2 linked regions of the Drosophila melanogaster genome follow. Changing the gene in region 1 together with any one later gene gives a genetic interaction. Each region holds a gene or a part of one and is shown on either strand. Other genes may lie near its edges.

The links.
Region 2: of msd1 (region 1) and cnn, changing one enhances a phenotype caused by changing the other (phenotypic enhancement), as found in Drosophila melanogaster (one study listed by BioGRID).

Annotation. Positions count from the first base shown.
Region 1 is NT_037436.4:1,329,975-1,333,018, reverse strand, and holds msd1 (mitotic spindle density 1), read right to left. Parts: upstream 1,276-3,044; 5' UTR 1,238-1,275; coding exon 1,201-1,237; intron 1,146-1,200; coding exon 766-1,145; 3' UTR 693-765; downstream 1-692. Other genes in the region: msd5 (mitotic spindle density 5), read left to right, coding at 1-667; ND-ACP (NADH dehydrogenase (ubiquinone) acyl carrier protein), read right to left, coding at 1,560-1,739, 1,849-1,977, 2,070-2,156, 2,729-2,878. UniProt on the Drosophila melanogaster protein: As part of the augmin complex, plays a role in centrosome-independent generation of spindle microtubules.
Region 2 is NT_033778.4:13,447,326-13,452,580, forward strand, and holds the start of cnn (centrosomin), read right to left. Parts: upstream 3,151-5,255; 5' UTR 3,034-3,150; coding exon 2,849-3,033; intron 2,076-2,848; exon of another isoform or gene 1,672-2,075; intron 4-1,671; exon of another isoform or gene 1-3. Other genes in the region: Golgin97 (golgin 97), read left to right, coding at 3,500-3,673, 3,765-4,550, 4,603-4,701, 4,997-5,255. UniProt on the Drosophila melanogaster protein: Core component of the centrosome throughout spermatogenesis. May participate in mitotic spindle assembly and the mechanics of morphogenesis through an interaction with microtubules, either directly or indirectly. Is a target of several homeotic genes.

The sequences.
Region 1 (3,044 bases):
GACGGTGATGAAACCGGGGGCCTTCTTTGACAGCCTGCAGCAGATGATGGAGGAGGAGGCAGCAGCCACTACGCCCCCGAGGGATCTTAGCTCGGTAGCCGACTATGCGGAGCTCTTCAAGACCTTGGAAGAGTACCCGGCCAACCTGCAGAAAATGCCCAAGAAGCGGGAGCTACAACGTACCAACTCAACGCTCCTGCGAGGAGCAGACGAGTCGGTGGCCATGGGCATCAACACATCCAACGTTTCGCTGAGTCTGACGCGTCTGGAGGAGCAGCGCAGTGCCGTGGACGTGTACAATGATTTTAAGGGTTTCCAGCGAAAGCTGGCCAAGATCTACGACGAGGCAGCCGCTCTGGACACCACAGAATCCATATACAAGCAGAAGCTGACGCAGCTCCATGGATTTGCGCAGCAGCTGGAAAAGCTCATGCCAACCGGCGGTGAGTCTCCGCCAGATGCTTTTACATCCGAGCAGCAGGAGAAGCTTCTGACCATAGCCGCCAATATGGAACAGCTCAACTACCTGCGCTCCAACAGCCTCCAGCTGCCCAATCCCAATGAGATACTCGCCACCGGGAGTCTTGCCGCTCGCCTGGAGATGTTCGTAGAGGTGCTTACCTATACGCTTCTCCAAGTCAGCAGCTACAATATGGCCATGATTTGAAAACCTCGCTTAAAGAGCTTTAAATACAAATCAAATGTTTAATTTATTTAAATTATTTTTCAACTATAACATAATAATAAATTCTAAAAATGGATGAGCTAGGGGGAATCCTCGCTGGCATACTGCTCTTCCTGTGAGTTCTTCATCTGGCCCACGGTGTCGTAGAGCGCCACCAGCTTACGCACGGAGCTGCCAAGGTGCTCCACGCGATGCCTGTAGGCCAGGCAGCCCTCCAGAGCGCTGTATGTCTCCTCCCGCTGGTCACTGCTAGACATGAGCAGCTTGAAGTTCTCCAGGATCTTGGACAGGGTCATCTCAGCCTCCGGCCTGAGGTTGTACATCTTCTGGGTCTCCGACAAAGCCACATTCTGACTGAATGCCTTGCTGTTGGACTCGATGTGGAGCAATGTGTTGTTCGACCGCTCCATTATCTCGTCTATCTTAGCCAGCTGGCGGTTCATGGTCTGCCGATTGGCCGCTGAAATTGGAAGCACGGAATAGAACGCGTGTCGGTGGTTTAAAGATATATTTACCCATTCCCGCCAACATTTTGTCCACAGCGTCTGACATTTCGAATATTCTGTTTGTAATGCTAGCAGATTAACGTGACCGTCGCTGCGTATCTAAAATACACAAGGCTTTCTAAAACAATCGAAAGACCAACGTTTCTATCGAAATTTAAATTTAACCGCCAGTACTAAATGACTCGTTTATTTATTTGGATAGTTAATTTATTAGCTGCTATTCCGCAGTTAATTATAGCCCTCGTGTACAATTGCTGACTACAAGTTAATTTAACGTTTGGTTTATTCAGTTGATCAAATTGTATTTGACTTGTTTTCTATTTAAATTTAAGTGTAATCCGTTCAATGGCTTGCATTACAATTACAATTTACTCGTACACATCCTCCTTGTCGGCGACGTACTTAATAATGTCGGCAGGTTTAAGCAGCTTCTCGGCATCAGAGTCGGGGATCTCGAAACCGAACTCGTCCTCCATGGCCATGATGACCTCCACGTGGTCCAAGGAATCCAGTCCCAAGTCGTTGATGAAGTGCGACTCAACGTTGAGCTGTAAATGCGAGCCATTAGCATTGGGTATTCAAAGGTTTCATCAGCTTTGTTCAGTTCTGATTTCTGAGGCGACCATTGCACTGGCAAAGGCAATATGTGGCGTTTACCTTGCTGGGATCGATCTTGTCGTAGAGCTTGAGCACAAGCAAGACGCGCTCATTGATCAGCTTCAGCGAGAGCGGCGGTTTCGCCGAGTATCTGCGCACCAATTGCGTTTGCCAGCGACCACGGCACTCCTGGTTTTTGGCCGGCCCGAGAAAAAAAGGAAGGAAACAAAGACCGGATTAGTGGCGCCATGCAATGGGTACTTTACCTTTTCGGCGGTCACTTTGTCGTAGGCGGAGACAACCTTTAGCACGCGGAACTTGATGTCCTCGATGGTGCTCTTGGCCGAGTAGCTGCGCACACCGAACTTCTGCGAATGTTAATGTCTAGTGAATTTTCGTCTCTATATGAATAATTGCATTGGTAGTTCATCTACGACTTATGGTGCATACAACTTAGCTAATTCTTCAATGAGCAGTGTAAATATATACGCAATTTAAACGAGGGTGGTTCGATGGTGTATGATCAACTGATTAAATACCGCGAAAACTATTGCTTGGATTGGCGTGGAAACATATTTAGATATTTAACAAACTGAAATCACATGTTTTAAAACCGCTACATTTTAAGGTCACTTCTAGAGGATTTTCACTGTAGTACAATCAACCGCACACAAGTGCGAGCACCGGTGTTGCAGGTGTATGTGTGTGTGTGTGCGATAGGGAAACAATCATGTTTTATGCAAAATAATGTGATGCAATCGAATTGGGTGGTTCGACGGCCACATGGCGAGGATCTTCTGTTGCGTTCATGATTGCAAGCACTTAATTGAATGTTTTGAAACTCGTAGATCACGAAACCCCGCCGTTTGCGATGAGGTTAGGTCCTCAACTGCGATTGGGGCTCCTGCAACGGAAGGGACCGCTTTGGACGTTCGCTTACTTGGCTCAACTGGCTGGTCATCGATGGCACGGCGATCCTGTGCATCATCCTGGAGGCCTGTGATTGGATGAGAATGCCGGAGGCGACCCTCCTTGGGGCCAAAGTGGCCGCCAGTCGACTGCAGCTGCGCGCGATCTGTGTGAACGACATCTCGGTTCTCCTGCAACGGAAACGCAGCGGGTTAGTATCGCATCTCTGCAGACGGTGCACGAGTGCAGGTCTCGTATTTTGGGCGATATTTACGCTGAGTTTTCAAGATTATGTAAAAGTGCTGGAGCAAGAAAAAGACAGCAAGGTAGCAGTGTGACCGTATGCG
Region 2 (5,255 bases), on another chromosome or scaffold:
ACTCTAATTTTGAGATTTAATTAGTTGCTTTTACACGGGGTGGACACGTCATTCCTGGCTGCTGCTGCGGCTGCTGTTGTTGTTGTTGTTCTTGGCTTTATTCCCTAAATACTTTCGCGGCGCACGCCAAACTTCGTTACGTATCCGCCATGTCGTCTTCGAAGGGACGGGCAGCCATGAGTCATGGGCTGCTGGGCGATGCGACGTGCGCAGCAGCAATCAGGAGCATTCAGCCGTAGAGCGGAAGAAGAGTCTTCAAAGAGTCTGGCGCTCCTACGGACGGGATGCATCCCCAACAGGACGGGGGGTTGGACGACGGCACATGTGGGCCACCGCATCGTTGAAGATACTAACCACCACATACACTGCACCACGCACCGCCTCTGGTCGTTATTTATTTTGGGAATTGAGCAAACAGCAAAACGGCGACCGCATTAGAAACAGCAATTTGTGAACGGGACAAGAAAATTCTGCCAAACATTTTCACTCATTGTTTTGTTTTGGCATTCGGCTATCGCTGGTTACTATGGTGGTAATGAAAATCAATGGTTTAAGCCGACAGCTGAGCGACCTGGTCACTGGGAACAACAGGTGTGCATTTTGAACCGTGCCGGAACATGTGTCTCTTCGTTTAGCACCTGAACTTTGCCGCGAATGCATTTTAGGGCCCTCACATCGACAGGTAAACTGCAGTTAACAGCCCATTCTCACCTCACCTGGAACGCAGACGCGACTCATCTACCTGGCTGCCTGGCGCGCCTCGAGTGGGTGTCAAACTATGGCCAACGACACACAAAGGCGCCTGCCTTAATCAACAAAGAAATACAATAACAATAAACAGAAGTGGATCGAGACTATAGCGAGTGATATGCGAGGAAAGCATCTTAAGACAATAACCATATGACGAAGGACGCACTGAATCTTGAAGGCTTTTGAACAGGATGTCAAATGTCACTCATATTCATAAATCGAATCAAAACATTCATAAAATATGCAAGATGTTTATTGTTCAAAATTAGAAAGGAAATTTCAATTGAATAAGAAATAAAATATAACATTACTCAATTAAATTATGACTAAAGTGTGTTTTTTTTTAATTCCTTATTTAAATTTAAATGAATGCGATAAAAACAAAACTAAATGAGCCATTTGCATGATAAATTCTACTTATGATCCCTCAAATTACATATCATACAAACGATACTGTACTTTACCAACCAGGATGCTTTGTTTTTCGAGGGTAGGGAAGTCAGCGTTGCAGTTTTGGAAGGGCAACAAAAGAGGTGCTCTGTTCGGTTTTTACCCCATAGGGGTTAATTCCACGAGTCCATGACCCCTGATGAATGCACATGTGTATATAACTAACTAACCCACACACACACACATGGAGCATACGACGAAACTGCAGTCTGATAAGACGACTTGTGACGAAATTCAGAGTTCCAGGAAGTGCGAAAACGCAGATAATGATATAGGTTGTTGCGGCTGTCGATTGAGCCATGGAATGCTCTATTTCACAAACAAATTAATTCGTATACTTTTTCTCCGACTAAAATTAGCCGCAGCATCGTGGCGACAAAAACGACAAACGAACAACAACAACAACAGCAGCAGCAGCAGCATCAGGGGGCACAAGCACAGATATCTTTAGTATTTCTAAGTATATATTACATTTATTGTAAATCCGAGCACACTTTGTACTTTATATATCTGTGTATTTCGATTTGGTTTTTTGTTTTTCATCCGAGAACCACCAGCATCCCACTAATCGCTTATCCACAGCAACGAATGCAATAAATTACAAATCAATCTATCACTTTTTGTATCTCGCAGTGCAATATAAACAATTGCACTTATGTACAGATATGTATGTACAATCAATCACTCACACACCCGCACAACGCTTGACCCGCTGATTGTTTCTATTTACATATATGTATGTATATATGGGTAAGTGAGTATATAGATATGTATGTATGTACATATGGCACGATTGATAGCCGAGAGGCAAGCAAAATAAACCGAAAAACGCTCTCTGCACGTCCAAATAAACCGAAAGCTAGAACATAACTGACTGAAACTGCGATGCGACCGATTCAGAGCGACCAAAGGCAGAGCAGCAAACGGGCGGAAAACTCGGGCTCATCTGCGAGGAAAAAGGAAAATGCGCTCAGCAGATGTTACGCATTTCCCAATGCCGTACACAGCGAGAAAGCGGTCAGCAAACTCAGTTCATTGGCTACGAATAGAATACAGAAATATCTGTTGTATACTTAAGGGATTACATTTGTGTTCCCAATTCTTTTTCTTTTAAATTTTCATTTTCATTAGGAATCAGAATAGTAATAGTAAATCTAAAGATTATAATAAAAAAATGTATTAAACTTTGACTCTATTCAGCATTTGAAAAAGTGATGAAGCATACAATCTTAAAAATAAAAGTACATCTTATAAGAGTACCTTACAAATCTTATTTCATTTAAAATCGTAAATTAATCCAAATCACTTAATGTTTTTAAAAAACATTTTAAAATAAATATTGATGGAAATTTAGCTTTAAAATTTTTTTCAGTGCAGATGTATTATTGTTCCTCTCTTCGAATTTTTTGGGGTGGGTAATACGCCCATTGTACGCCTGTGCTTGTGAGTATGCCTCCCCCTATGGGGCCGAGCAGTACGGATGCGGGAGAGCTCCAGCTGAGAGCGTTAGTTCCCGATCACAGTGGGCACGATCACCATGTCACATGGCGATCATCTGCTGCGCACTCGCAGTTGCCAGGGATTTCGATGGATTTGCCACACAAGTCTTATTGGTAAGCTATTGTTTATGCTAGTGTTTTGGACTTACTCGTCTATGCTTTTGGACAGTGCCTCGGCTAGTTTGCGCAGGACCCTTCTGTCGATTTCGGCGGCGCCATTCTCCTCCAGGAAACTGGTCACGGTCTCAATTAAGGTGATTTCCTTCAAGGACGATGCACAGGTACCATTGCCGTCGCCGCAATAGTCCCGCAAAACCTGTTTAGACTGGTCCATGGGAGGTCCTCAAATAGTTAACTTTCGCACACAATAATTCTAACACTTGACAATTTCACAAAGGACGCTAACAATTACACTTTTTTTCTGTTTGGAAAATGAAGCGCGCTGGAACAGCTGTTTCTGGCGTCAGTTATCGAAATGCTGCCATGCGCACTGGCAGCACTGCCGTACAACGGGAAAAAGTTAACACAGCGGTATGGCAACGCTGTTCGTCGATTTACGTTACTGCAAAGTCGATTCTTATCGATGGTAAACAACATCGACGGTTTACGAAAATTAGCATTCGCCTGATAAGCAAGTAGAACACTACGGCCACCAGATATAACGCCATGCTATAAACGCTCTGTGGGCACGTTTTCGTCAGCCCCAGCCACAAGCAGGCCAACTTCAGTCGGGGGCAGTACACATACAGAAAATAGAGCAGCGCAACAGAGAAAAAGCTCCCCCCTCGAAAAACCTAACAATGTTTGCTACACTGAAAAACAAGATCAAGGAGGAAACTGGCGATGATGTGGTCCAATCAGCCAATCAACGTTATCCCGGCAACAACAACAACAATTACCGGCTACGTAGTCGCCGCGTTAGCATTAATTCCAACTCAGCTGATGATGTGGGCGGTGGCGGATTCTACAATGAGGTAAACTGAGCGAAAAAAAAACAGTCTATTTGTGTATACTTACACATTAAACAAAAACACGGATAAACAAACACCTTCACTCTTTTCGCAGTCGGAGCAATTGTGCGAGCTGCGAAGTCAGTGCAACGAGCTCACCACGAAGCTGTCCACCGTCACGCAGGGATTGCAGCAGCTGCAGGAGGAGAAGACGCGCGTGGACAAGACCAACGAGATTCTGCTAGAGAGTGTGCGTGTGGCCCAGACGCAGAAGGACATATACTGCGAGGAGCAGGAGAAGATTCAGAATCTACAGCAAATCGAGATTGACAAGCTGAAGAATCTGCTTAGCTTTCGGGAGCAGGAGTCGGTGGATCGCATGGGTCTCATGCGCCAGCAGACCCAGCAAATCGAGTCCTTGAGCGAGGAACTAGAACGTCTGCGTCCCATTGAATCCGTGGCCGAAGATTTACGCGACGAACTAGAGCAACTGCGACATTCTACACAGCAGGAGAAGAATCTGCTGACCACAACACTGGCGGCTGTACAGGAGGAGAACCGGCACCTCAAAAAGCGCATGAAAATCGTCGAGGAGTCGCGACTCGAGTCTCTGGGCAAACTGAACTCCGAGCAACAAGTGCAAGCCCTTATCCGGGAACATAAACTGCTGGAACAGCACTTAGAGGAGGCCCATCTGCAGTTGTCGGACATCAAAGGCTCGTGGAGTGGCCAGAATCTGGCGCTGGAAACCCAAGTTAGTCGTCTATCCAAGCAAGTGGCCGAAGAGACCACCGAAAAGCGAAAGGCCCTTAAATCCCGCGACGATGCCATTGAAAGCCGCAAGCAGGTATCATTCGAACTCGAAAAAGCCAAAGATGAAATAAAGCAGCGGGACGATAAGGTAGGTTAGATAGTAATACCTATGTGCCAATACTTATGCACTTTAATTGCAGGTCAAGCTGCTGGAGGAGGAAATCGATGAACTTAGTGTGGCCCTGAAAGAGTGCCGAGAGGAGAACGAGCAGCAAGTCCTCTTTGAGCGCAATAAATCTGTGAGTATGCCTCCCGATTCTGACGATTTCCATTGGGACTTGTAACACTAATTTAACCAACAATGCAGTACTAACTCTACCAATTAAGCTCCTGGTTTACTTGGAATTTTCCAACCACACCTATTATGTAGTTTTTGATTGTAAATGTTTTCCTTTTCGTATTAAACTGATTTAATCGTTGGCAAACTTTTTGGTAAACTTTTTCCTTCAATAATGCACGCATATATATGTTTACCCTCAATATCCAAAACTGATTGATGGAGATTTTGTAAACCAATAAACCGAATGTTCTCAGCAAAATTTGGAAACAGAGGTAAAAGATCTCAAGACTCGTCTCACGGCAGCGGATGACAGGTTCAGCGAGTACTCCTCGAATGCCGAGCAGGTGGCCCAAAAGCTACGGGTTCAGGTGACTGAAAAGCAGGAGCAGCTGGACGAAACCATAATGCAACTGGAAATCGAACGAGAGGAGAAAATGACTGCAATACTTCGCAATGCGGAAATCGCCCAGAGCGAAGACATTTTACGGCAACAGCTGCGCTTGGAGCGCAGCG